Danio rerio: one gene and its partner. The protein of the gene in region 1 purifies or fractionates together with the protein of each later gene. This does not show direct contact. Links are inferred from orthologs where the notes say so. Each region holds a gene or a part of one and is shown in the gene's direction. Other genes may lie near its edges.

What was found. Proteins that work in one complex are often made in the same cells at the same time.
Region 2: the proteins of strn3 (region 1) and cttnbp2 purify together in Homo sapiens (affinity purification with mass spectrometry; 4 studies listed by BioGRID and IntAct, with this or other methods). This does not show direct contact. The link is inferred for Danio rerio from reciprocal best matches to the Homo sapiens genes STRN3 and CTTNBP2.

The regions. Positions count from the first base shown.
Region 1 is NC_133192.1:30,200,261-30,206,681, forward strand, and holds part of strn3 (striatin-3), read left to right. Parts: intron 1-361; coding exon 362-465; intron 466-626; coding exon 627-700; intron 701-2,683; coding exon 2,684-2,765; intron 2,766-2,933; coding exon 2,934-3,110; intron 3,111-3,204; coding exon 3,205-3,343; intron 3,344-3,438; coding exon 3,439-3,580; intron 3,581-6,421. UniProt on the Homo sapiens protein: Calmodulin-binding scaffolding protein which is the center of the striatin-interacting phosphatase and kinase (STRIPAK) complexes.
Region 2 is NC_133193.1:22,153,939-22,160,359, reverse strand, and holds part of cttnbp2 (cortactin-binding protein 2), read left to right. Parts: exon of another isoform or gene 1-89; intron 90-333; coding exon 334-558; intron 559-2,146; coding exon 2,147-3,596; intron 3,597-5,371; exon of another isoform or gene 5,372-6,016; intron 6,017-6,414; exon of another isoform or gene 6,415-6,421. UniProt on the Homo sapiens protein: Regulates the dendritic spine distribution of CTTN/cortactin in hippocampal neurons, and thus controls dendritic spinogenesis and dendritic spine maintenance.

The DNA.
Region 1 (6,421 bases):
CTCTCATTTGCTAATGTTAACCTGCTCTTTAGAGCTCAGTTCCTCTGGGCCACTGCCTTCCAGTGGCTTGTGTTGGTTCCTCTTAAGAAAATGAGATGAAATGATTTCAATCCAGTCAAATCATGGTTATTGATTTAAATCAAATTGATTCGCCAAGTTCACCAAGCAAATGATTCGTTCACAAACGCGTGATTTTGTGTGTGTGTGTGTGTATGTGTGATGTCAGCAAGAGCATGTCTGTTCCAAATTTGTTCTCTCATTTCGAACATTTCACAAGTTGACATCTCAGCTAAAATTTATATGCTCTGGTTTAACCTCTATTTCACGTGTTCTCATCATGACGTCTGTTTCTGTGTTGCAGGCCCGAATAGCATTCCTCCAAGGAGAAAGGAAGGGGCAGGAAAATTTAAAGAATGACCTTGTTAGAAGAATAAAAATGTTAGAATATGCATTAAAGCAAGAAAGGTTTGTGATTCTTTTTTGTAACATTAGTTATTGTAAAAGAAAATGTTGATCAAAGTAAAGCTATTTTCATATTTATATTAAAAAGCTTATGCATGTATGTGTGTGTGTGTTAGTTTATGTATGCCTGTATTTTTAACAAAGATTCTGTCTTTCATTTCTAGAGCAAAATACCATAAATTAAAATATGGGACAGAACTTAATCAAGGTGAAGTGAAAATGCCTAGCTTTGAATCAGGTAAGAGGACCCAACCTATTTTTAAAGTGTATAATATCAGGGTTCACACCCTTCTTGAAAGGACTTGAATTTCAGACATATAGTTTCAAGGTCTGTAAAGTACTTTAAAAAAATGAAGGTCCTTGAAAGTGTTTAAATTATATTTGAAATGACATTAGTTTATGGTTTTATTTTAACAATTGTACTCAATTGTCAAAAAAGAATGATAAAAACAGAAATTATTTTAAAAATGTACATTTATTCTTGTACAATAGCACTGACAAATAATGCACATTTTACCAACATTTCAGAAACCGCATTTGAATGTCACCAATATTGAATTCAACAAATTTTGTTAAAGTTCTTTAAACAGGATTTTTTAATCGGTCAAAAAATGGTTTTAATGTAAATATTAGGTGTAAATGAAATGTTAAGCACAGGAAGGCCTTTCATATGCTGGAGTGTGAATTACAAAGTGCTTGATTTAAAATTAATGGTGCTTTAAAAAGTCCTTAAGAGTCTTGAATTTGCTGTTCACGAAAGCATGGGAACCCTGTAATATACAATACAGTCTGATATCTATTATATATTTTTTTTTACAATGGACCTTTTCACAAGAGTGTTATGACGCTTTTAACAGTCATCATAATCTTAAATTCTTGAAAGTTTTTCAATATTTTTATTTTTTTTAAACGTATGTATATTTATGTTTTTACATCTTTATTATATCTTCTTTGCATGAAATTACAAAAAACGAAATGCTGATAGTGCAAGGTGTTTGTAATGCAGCATCTATGGACAGGACAGTAAATTTAATGTTGTTCTTTCTTCTGGCTGTTATTAGTATCACACTTTTTTTTTTCTTTTTCTGAAAGTCTTCATAACACCATTGTGGTGTTTTTCTTTTGAGATTTCAGCAAATAGGATTGTAAAAAAAGTTAAAATTGTTGTACTCTCCATTCACTGTGCACTAAGTTTACCTAACTATGATGACTTCTGCTACTTAGAAACCAAAAAATGTGAAATGGATCTATTTGAAATATTAAATGTATATATAATGTATTTCTGTTAAAGTTTAATTTTTCAGCATACATTCTTCAGTCATGTTATTATTATTATCATTATTATTATTAAAAATGTTACTATTACTAGTTTAACCAGATATAAAGTATGATACATTTGTAATCTATTTATGTTTGATAGCTAACAGCTTTTGAAAACTAACAGTACTTTTACTAACAGTAATATTAGTGATTAATATTAGGGATGCACTTGGTTGGAAACCTAAAGACGTTTTATGTTAATGTTTATCACTGTTTTACATTTTTATAAATTTTAAATTTTCTGATTAAAATCAACAAAATTTGAAGGTTGAGACTTTCTAGTTGTTTCATATAAAAGCAATAGACATTAGACCTACCCATAAAGTCCACACATTTAACTGTTGTAGTTTGACCTTGTTATGTCAAGCTGAGCAATCAAATTGACCCATCAGAGAATCTCCAAATAAATGTGACTTTGTTTTAATCAACCACTTCAGTCCTTCAAAACCATTTCATCCTCAATCTGAAAATAATTTTTTCTAACGGAATATCCAGAAACATTTTAATGGTTGTATGCATGTATTTTTTTGTTCTGGAATCTCAAATGTGTTTGTTATCACTTTATTTTGATGGTCCCTTTAATGCATTTTGTTGAATTTAAGTTGCATTGCATCTATATGCCAACTAATTCTCAATAGGTTATAAGTAGTGTTAGGTTGGGGTTAGGGTTACGGTTAGTGTAATTTGACATGTACTTGTAAAGTTTCAAATAGTCAGTTAAATGTGTTGATGGAGCAGAATCAGCAGATATTAAGCTGAAAGTCTACTAATACTCAAATGAGATGTAATTGACATGTAGTTGAAATGCAACTTTTAGTCAATAAAATGTGCAATAGGGACCATCAAAATAAAGTTTTGCCATGTGTTTTATTAAACTTTTGTATTTTTCTGTTTCATAAAGAAGATACCAAAGATACAGAGGTCTCAGCTATACCACAGAATAGCCAGTTAACGTGGAAACAGGGCAGGCAACTTCTCAGACAGTAAGTTAGCCTTGAGTCATTATACTTTTCCTAATGACGCTTGTGCATTCCGTGTGTGCGTGCATTTCAGTTCTGCTAAGAAAGTTCATAGGCATCTGTGTTGTCACGTTATCACTATTTATATCACCGGCTCTGTTCTGACCGACTTTACGCATCTGTCTTTTCAAGATATCTTCAGGAAGTAGGTTATACGGACACAATACTGGACGTCCGGACGCAGCGAGTGCGGTCATTACTAGGACTGTCCGGCTCAGAGCAGAATGGTTCCGTGGAAACCAAGAACCTAGAACAAATTCTAAATGGAGGCGAATCTCCAGCCAAAAGAAAGGGACAAGACATGAAAAGGTGTTGATTGATTTGATTTGATGCAACTGGTAAATTCATATAAACAATTAAATGAGATTTCTTAACGTTGTCTGTGATGCCTTTTGTTTAACAGGAATCCAGAAGTTCTGGAGACATTTAATTTTTTAGAAAACGCTGATGATAGTGATGAAGAAGATGATGATGAGGGTGATATAATGGAGGATGTGCCTGACAGGAGCGATAAACGCAGAATAAAAAAACATAAGATTAAGGTGTGTAACCAGGATATTTTACATGTCAATGATCTCAAAGTAGTCATTCTCAGGATATAGAAGTTCATGTGTTGTAGTCTTGACTACTTTTCCAGGTCGGAAATGAAGGATTGGCTTCAGACTTGCCGGATGACCCTGACACAGAGGACGCACTCAAAGAGTTTGACTTTTTGGTGAATGCGGAGGATGGAGAAGGTGCTGGGGAAGCTCGGAGTTCTGGAGACGGCACAGAGTGGGGTAAATAGTTTGCTTTTTACTTTAATGCTGCTTTACTATGGTACATCACACTTTTGGGAGATTTGCACTGTGCAGAGTACCTGGTATACCTCTGTTGAGTTTTGAAGTGAGCTGTGCAGAAACTAAAAGAGAGAATCGTCACTACCTGCGTCATTGTAACACGACACAACAAACCTGCAAGATGTAAATAAATAGTCAGCATCAGCCGCTGTGGGATTATTTTCAATGACTGACACGCATCTTCTAATGGCTGTATCATGGTCAGTAGAGAAGGTGCAGACGTTCCTCATGTTGATATTCAAGAAGCAGATCCAGTGTGATCTGGATGTGGCAACCAGGAATTAGGTTACATTTTAGTAGATGCGGTGCAAAAAAACGTATAATCTCATCCACTTTGCTTTTTTTTAACCACACAGTGAAAAAGTGACTTAAGGCTACATTTTCTTGTCAACAATGTAACCAAAAACTGAAAACTTTTTTTACTTGCATTAAAAAAAAGTTTCACATTTACATATCTTTTTCAAAATACATTTATGAAAATGTCCTAAAACACTGATTTATATTTGGCAGAGCAGTATTTGATGTTTTCACCTTGTTAGTAGGGCTGCATAATGTTAAAAAAACTGATATGGCAATATTTAGTTTTGCTGCGATATAATATTGCGTTATGAATATAATCACTAGATTCACTGAATAGCTCCAACCTATTTGGAAAGATGTCATTCTTTGAGATTGACTGAGGTGATCAAATCTATTTCTATGCAGTGTGTCTAAATATGACAGAGTAAAAATAAAAGTTTAATAAACAGTGCTTTTTTTGTGGAGTCTAACAGTATTCAAATACAAAACCATACAAAAATATTGTACAAATCATTGTTTAAACCTTGTATGCAATAATATAAAAATTATATTCAGCATTTTCTTTATATTTTGATATTTAATCAATTGAATACTGCGATGTGACTATTGTGGAAAAACACATTGCGAAATCAATGCGCAAGCGGTATATTGTTCAGCCCTACTTGTTAGAAAATAGTACCCCAAGGAAGGAATGATGTTCAGTTGGCGGCTCTGCGCTGATGTTTATGTAGAATTCAAAGTGTGTAAGATGCGTCTATGCTGTTGCTTGTAATGCAAAGTAAATCCACACCTTGCTCCTGAAGCATTAGCCAACAGTTGAGCATCAACAACACTAGCATGTACTGTGCCACTGTTGTGTGTTTATTTGGGCTTGCCTTTAATCTGCATCTCCCTAAATGTGCACACACATGACGTCATTGTGTAAGCCCCAAAAAAATAGTTATTGAAAAAAAGGCGACAATGTTCTTAATAACTTTAACTTTGAAATCCATTTTCATATTTATGCAGGTAATGTCACAGAAATGCTAAACGAACAAGCAAAATACTTCAAACGTTTTGAGATATTGGCTGAAATTGTTGTCGCATAAAGAGCCACTAAGTGTGACTGAGTATAATTTGTGTTATTGAGTGAAAAACACAGGTCACATTGGTGTGCAAGTCTATAATTCATTCCAAAGTAGTATGAAATTGGCTGCCAGTAGCCCTAAATAAACTGAAATGCCTACAGACATTATAAACGTATATTCTACTATGTCACTCTACAACAAATCTTTTTAATAGTGCTCAGTACAGAAAAGGAACAATAGGTATGAAAAAACTATCAAGAATAAAAAGCAGTTGTTATGTCAGTGGCTGAAAGCATAATTCAATATAAATGTCAAGTCTAAACTTGTTTATTCAAAGCAAAACTGAAATGATTAGCATTATTATATATATATATATATATATATATATATATATATATATATATATATATATATATATATATATATATATATATATATATATATATATAAAATATGTGCTATAATCTAAATAGTTGTGTGTCTCATTCATCACCAATCCACCAATGCATTTGTTTTGCTCACCTCATACTAATTCCATTAAGTCACTTTGGAGTTTAGGTTGCATCCTTTTTAAATGAAAAAATGTCTTATATTTTGAAATACATAATAATTGTCAAGTGATGAAACAGGGCACATCTCTTAATATTCTTACAGGATTTGAGTGTTTGATTATTAAGCAGGACATCCTTATTAGTGTGTAGTATTGAAATATGGACTGAAATTTAAAGGTTCATCCAAACAAGAACTATTTATTATCAACCCAGCCTAGTGTTGATCCAGCTCTGTTTTTTATATTAGATTTTAGAATGTTCATTTATTTGTGATTGGTCAAATCAAAAGTGGTTTATATTGAAGACTTCTAAACAGGACATCATAGCACCATAGTGATGCTATAATTGTTTTTTTTTTTTATGACAACAGATTTTCAGCAGCCATTACTTGTCACATGATCCTTTAGAAGTAAATAAAACATATTGATGTGTTAATAAAGAATATAATTTTTTTATTGCCCCAAATATGACATTGTTGATTTTGACTTTTTGTGGTCTTACAAAGCTTGGAACATACAGGTGATGATGATAGTCCATTAGTAAACATTAGCATTAATGTTTAGTGTATGGAAATGAGCTGTTTTGACATTATGCAAGTTTGCTAGTCTTTTAATTAAAGAAAAGAGACTGCATAAATGTGAAAACATAATGAACTATATGAATCTGTGTCTGTATGGGCATGTGTGTTCCTTGCATGTGATTGTGGCACACACCGGCCCTGCAGTAGAATCTTAACGAGGCCAGTTGCTGCATCAGCATTCCTGCCAGGAGATTCTCTTACTGCTCCGACCAGAGCCAGCTGGGTCAAACACATCAGCTCATTACATCCATCCCGCAGCCGTGCTTTTTCTTTTTGTATCTCT
Region 2 (6,421 bases), on another chromosome or scaffold:
CTGATCCATAAACGGATTGACATGGCATGCAAACGCTGACAGACACGACTTTCAAACACTCTCCAAAGCTTTCTGTCCCTTCAAAGTAGGTATGTGTGTCTAAATTTTAAAATAAGTGCACTCGATCAGTATGGGTCACTGACAGATGACAGTTGTTCGCACTCCACTTTCTCTCCTGCTTTGCCTTGTCAAGTCCACTCCTCGTTTTCTAAATAATTCTGAGGTAGAATTGTACTGAAAGATGGGGGTTTCAGGCCCCTTTAACAACAATATGGACTTAACTCTGAGAAAATGCTAATCTGTTGTTTTGCTTCTATATTATTTTCTTCATAGGCTCGAAGAAAAGAAGTGTTCCTGCAGGAGCGATATGGACAGTTCAGTCTGACAGACCCATTCCTCGCCATGCAGAGGGACTTTGAGTCAGGGATGGGCCCAAAGGATCGTAGGCCAGTCAGCGCAAGCCCCATCACTGTGCTGGAAGCTGTTATGGCCCACTGCCGTAAGATGCAGGAGAAGATGTCTGCCCAACTCTCGGCTGCTGAGACCAGACAGAAGAGGGTAAGATCTCAATTTGTGAGCATTTAACTCCGTTTATATGTAAAAAACAAGACTACAGAAAGGATTAAGTGATGGGTTTACATATTCCATCTAAAAAAAGTCAGTATTTTCGTAGGAATTGCCTTGACATTGTTACATTTGCTGTCAGAGAGGTTCCTAGTTACTCTCAGGATCATACCTGCCAACCCCTGTCTTCAAAATTGGGGCGTGTGGGGCTGGTCGGAGTTTGGTATTAGCATTGCTTGGGGGGTGGCGGTGTTTGTTTGTCTGAATAATACAGCTGAGAACTGGATTAGTAACTGTACTTTGGTGTTGTAACTCCACTATGGACCGGGATTCGGGCAGCTGCTGAGATCTGATACTATACCAAAGTTAGTGACCCGGGTGTGTTAACGTTACAGACTGTACAGAAAAGCTTTTTATAGGAGTTTTCTGGGAGAAATAACAAAACAGGAGGGTAGTGGGGGATAGGTTTGAACTATGGGAGACTCCCGGCAAAAACGATAGTGTTGGCAGGTATGCTGAGAATATACTGTTTTAGGGATTGTGTTGGAAATAAGTTTTTTTTTATAGCCTTCACGAAAGCAAGGCGCATGCTAGACATGCAGAGTAAAAAAGTGAAAGATAGACAAGGCAAGCAATGGCAGCCCCTGAGAAGAAAAGCAAGTGGTGTCAGAGAAGGAGAGAAATTGACGCTAAGCTCTGAAATACTCTGCCAAACACATCTGTAAATCTATATCTCACCATCTGAGCTAGTGCTACAGAAAATACGAGCTACATGATATCAAAGCTGGGCTTGAGCTTTTAAAACAGATGCAGGCATGCCTCTTTAAAGTGACCTCTGAACTGTCACTGCACACCACTTTTGCAGATCTGAAAGTATCTGTGTTAACTATGGTTTAATGCTTATATTTTTATACAGACTTTATTATTAGTTTAGAAAATACAGTTTATATAAAGGTATGTACAGTAGCATGCATATTTATGTGTTACACTGATCTGAGCTCTCCGTTCCAATAATAAACACTTGTTCTTGGTTGTTATGGCGACAGTACTCTTATTGCATTGGTACTGTAGTAAATGCAACAGCTTTTATATATAGTACCAGTCACACTGAGGAAATGTTAAATGATGTTTAAGAATAGAACAAAATAGTAGTATATAATCACCAGATGGACGTTGTGCTTAAATGTTTTCTGTTACCTCATTATTTCTAAAGAAGTAATATTTCATTTATTGGCTAAAAAGCTTAAGTCTGTACGAGGCGTGCACTTGCATACTGTTAGAGTGGGAATTGCTTGATTACTTTTACACAAGCTGAAAATTACATAAAGTTAAATGAAAGTAACCTGAGATTTGAGGACTTATCCCCAAGTTTAGTTGTACTTGATTTAAAAATTACTGTCAAGGCATGGTTACATTGTAGAAGGAACTGTTGTACCTTTAATACCTTATGTAATTGTGTAGTAATCAGTGTCTTGCTCTATATGTGTGTGTGTGTGTGTGTGTGTGTGTGTGTGTGTGTGTGTGTGTGTGTGTGTTATTTACCCTCTGCGAGTCTCATTTTTGCCCTGCTGCTACTGTCTAGCTTGAAATGGAGAAACTGCAGCTGCAGAGCCTGGAGCAGGAACACAGGAAGCTGTCAGCTCAGCTGAAGGATGAGCGAGAGAAAAACAAACACGTGGTGATGTCACTGGTGCATGAATGCAAGCAGCTAGCTGCTCGTGTGGTCGAAGAGAACCAGCGCTTTGAGGAACTTTCGTCCCGTACTGAGCAGGATGGTCGATCGGTGGGACGTCTGGAAGAAGAACTGGCATCTGAACGACGTCGTAGCCAACAGATGGAAGCGGAGATGGAGAAACAGTTGGCTGAATTTGACACAGAGCGAGAGCAGCTACGTGCCAGGCTTAGCCGCGAGGAGACTCGTGCTGTGGAACTCCGGGCTGAAAGTGAGAATCTCCGCTTGCAGGTGGAGCAGCTAAGAACTGAAAGATGCAAAGATTCCCCACCACTGCCTTCTGTTACCCCAGCATCTGTCTCTGTTAAACCCAAGGCTATGGTGTCTGTGGCTGTGGGCACTGAAGCAACTGTTTGCAAGACTGTCTCTTCTCAGACAGATGCACCGCTGGAAAATGAAGGAGCTAAGAAAGTGCCACTTTCCATCCCTGTCAAGCCTAGTGGCTCCACCTATGCTAGCATGAACCTACCTAAGACCTCCAGTGCAGGACGGGGGCTACACCATGGGAGCTCACAGGCAGAAAATGGAGGGGACGGTCAAACACATCTACATAGCTCACATTCACCTGGTGTATCTTCTACCTTGCCGACTGGGGTTAGTCCCCGCGTCCAGGCAGCCCGTTACAAATTCCAACCCTCTGCCTCAGAGCAGGACCAAAATGGAACCGCAAACCAGAGCCCCCCCTCGCGTGACCTGTCCCCCACAAATCGAGACAACTTTGCAGCTAAACAACAGGCTCGACACACTGTCACACAGGTTCTGTCCCGCTTCACAAGCCCTCCAGCAGGGGGACCCCCTGCAGCCCTTCGGCCCGGTCTGCCACATTCTACATCTGAGGGAGGACCCTTCACAGGACGTTTAGGCCACCCCCAGATAGGCCTTAAATCACCAACTGTGGCCCGAATCGACAGGGGTAACCCACCCCCGATCCCACCAAAAAAACCTGGACTGTCCCAGACACCATCCCCTCCACACCCACCAATTAAAGTAGTAGGTGAAGCTAGCAGGTCCCCAGGAACAGGACTTGGGGTGGGTCTTGCCAAATCAGCTACCACCCCTCAGCTTCCACCAAAACCCTCCTTAGATATGGGTGGTACAGTCCCAGCCATGACTGCGTCACAGGTGGGTGCATCCTGTTCTGGCTGGCCATGGGGGCAGCAGCCAACAGCAGCATGTGTGGAGTGTCCCCCTGTCATCACCTCCTCCACAGCTACCATTGTCAGTAGCCCCTCCATAAACCCATCTAGTCTTCCATCCCATAGCCCCCAGCACCTGGGCAGTCCCCTGGCAGCAGCATCAGGTAAAAGGGTGCTACGTTTTTCACCCTTGCTTTCACTACTTCTCTCTACTCCTCTCCCTTTTCCTACTTGATGCATTTATAAGTAAGTGCCAGCAGAGGAGGACATAGATGTGGAGTATCAAAGAGAGGAGTATTCATACTCTGATTACCCGTCAGTTGCCAGCAGTACTTATGTACAATGTGACCAAGATATGAACATTTGTTTTCTTGAGGGCAGAATTTTCGAATTCAGTAAAGCATTTTTAGATATAAATAGGTAATGTGGGCCCTCTCCCGAGGATGCAGGTCTCTAGGGGTCTTTCCTGTAACCCTTTCTGAAGCTGATGCCAGAGGCTGCTCTTTCCCTTTTCCTGTCATTGCCCTACAGCATGGTTCTGCCTTCCTGTGTTCCACCACTAACTTGATTCCCAAGTCTTAAACTAACAACTCCATTGTGTCCATGCCACTATCTGTTTCTTTCTATTATTGATAAAATTGATACTTGTGAATGTTGTGTTGTTCTCTGCATTTTTAAACATTCACTTCCATGGTTTTAAAAATTTTTGCTATTGACATAATGCACTGTTTTTGTCGTAAACTTGCACATAATAATGTTTAAGTCTCTATTTATTGGTTCTGCAATATATCATTTAATCATTTATATGAAATATAATGCACCATGTTTTTAAGAAGTTTGTAAATCCTTATCTTAAAGCAGAGGTGTCCAGTTCTTTTCCTGGAATGCCAATGTCCTTCAAAATCCATCTCCAACACACCTGTCTGGAATTTGTAGAGACCATGTAGACCTTGGCTGTTTCTCAATCAAGGTACCTCAGAAGAATGAACTCGGGAGACCACGAGAACATAGAATGCAGCCTGTGAGAAATGAGATGCTGTGTTCTTCATACAGCATACAGCAAGTTTAATAATAATTTTTATAAAAAATGTGGCAGTTTCCACCTCTTTTATTTAGCCGCAATGACTTTTGGGTCTTCTACAGCGAGTACTGTGCTCAAATCTGAGCTCAGTATCAAGAACTCATACGGGTTCTTTCACATGTCCTCCATTTTTGCAGTCTTAAGTTTTAGAACTGAACTTTGGCGATTAATGAGGATGTTACACAAAACACAAGGAAGCAATAACGCATAAGAATGCATATTGAGAAATAGCCCTCGATAAATTCTGGAAGACAGTAGGCCTACAGGAACATAATTGGACACCACTTTGAATAATGCTATCCCCCTAAAATACCAGCTTAGGATAAACATTAATGTCCTAGCTTTTCCAGCTGGCTAGTTCTGATTTGGTGTTCTGATTTAGCGTGGCTGGTAGATAGTAAACCACATGGTCTTCCTTGTAAAGTTTTTCTGCTTAAGCTAATTATTTAGTCTGGTGGAGACATCAGTACAGCAACTTAATTTGCTCTGGACGGACATCAGAAACATAAGGTAGTACTAAAAGTGCTTTATAAGAGATGCTGGTTAGAACCATGCATTGGTCTGTAAGCCAAATGTCTGTGACCGTTCCAACTGCAGTTAGATAAAAACGCTGTCAAAAACTTTAGATTTCTCTCACATTTTGAAATACCACACTGTCTCTGCAGGCCTCTTCGTAGCTCTCTGGGAGCTCCAGAGAAAGGCAATTGTAACATCAATGAAAGCAGAGCAAGTATTCCAACAGAGTCTTCCTCTTTATTGTCGCTAGAGACTAATCCACAGGGTAGCTCTGAGAGATGTTGGTAGCTAGCTGTCATCGCTAATTGCTAAATATTAGCACTTTTCTCCCTCTCTCTGCAGCCACTCGGCCATGGCAGTTCTCTGAGGCTTCTCTGCTCTCTCTGCCGCCCATTTTAACCCAGAAAAGAGCCAATTATCTAATGCTTCCACTGGACCCCAATGAAATGGCCTATATCTATCTCTCTCACTTCAACTCCCTCCACTAACAAAGATAAACATAGAGAATCCCTAGAGACAAAGCTATTTACAAACATGCCTTAGCATTAGCACTTAAGATACTAGATTAGTTACATCCCCATTGCAAGATTTGTTATTTGAATTCTGTTTCCACATAGGTGCCAGTTTACCAGTAGCCCTCCCTGCACTTTATTAAACTTCGTCCGTTTCTCTGCTGTAGTTTCCATCTTTCTAACACTCTTTAATTGACGTGACTCTTGTACTCAGCTCCATGTTTAGAACATTTCAGTTTGACTGACAGTTTATATTGCGTGACTTTGATTAATGTACTTTAAACCGCCTGCTGCATGATTTGATTTACGCAGTTACGTTTTGTATTTTATTTAATTGACAAAAAACATGAAGTTGACTTTAGCATATTAAAATGATTTGATTAATAGTATAGAGTGTGTGGATTGCTGATACACTCTAGAATAATACATTTCAGAAGTTGTGTCAAAATGTGTACATCACAAACATTTACCCTTTGTTCCCTGCTGAAAAATCCAGCTTAAACCAGCCTAGGCTGGTTGGCTGGTTTTAGCTGGTTGACCAGGCTGGTTTTAGAGGGATTTTGTCCATTTCCAGGCTGGTTTCCAGCCATTTCCAGCCTGGTCTTAGCTGGAAATGACCAGCCAAATCCAGCTAATACCAGCTTGACCAGCCTGGTTTAAGCTGGATATAGCTGGTTTTGGCTGGACTGCCAGCTTGGCTAGGCTGGTCAAGCTGGTTTTATCTGGTCATCTCCCAGCCTGACCAGCTAAGACCAGGCTGGAAATGGCTGGAAACCAGCCTGGAAGTGGCCAAAACCCCTCTAAAACCAGCCTGGTCAACCAGCTAAAACCAGCCAACCAGCCTAGGCTGGTTTAAGCTGGATTTTTCAGCAGGGTTTTG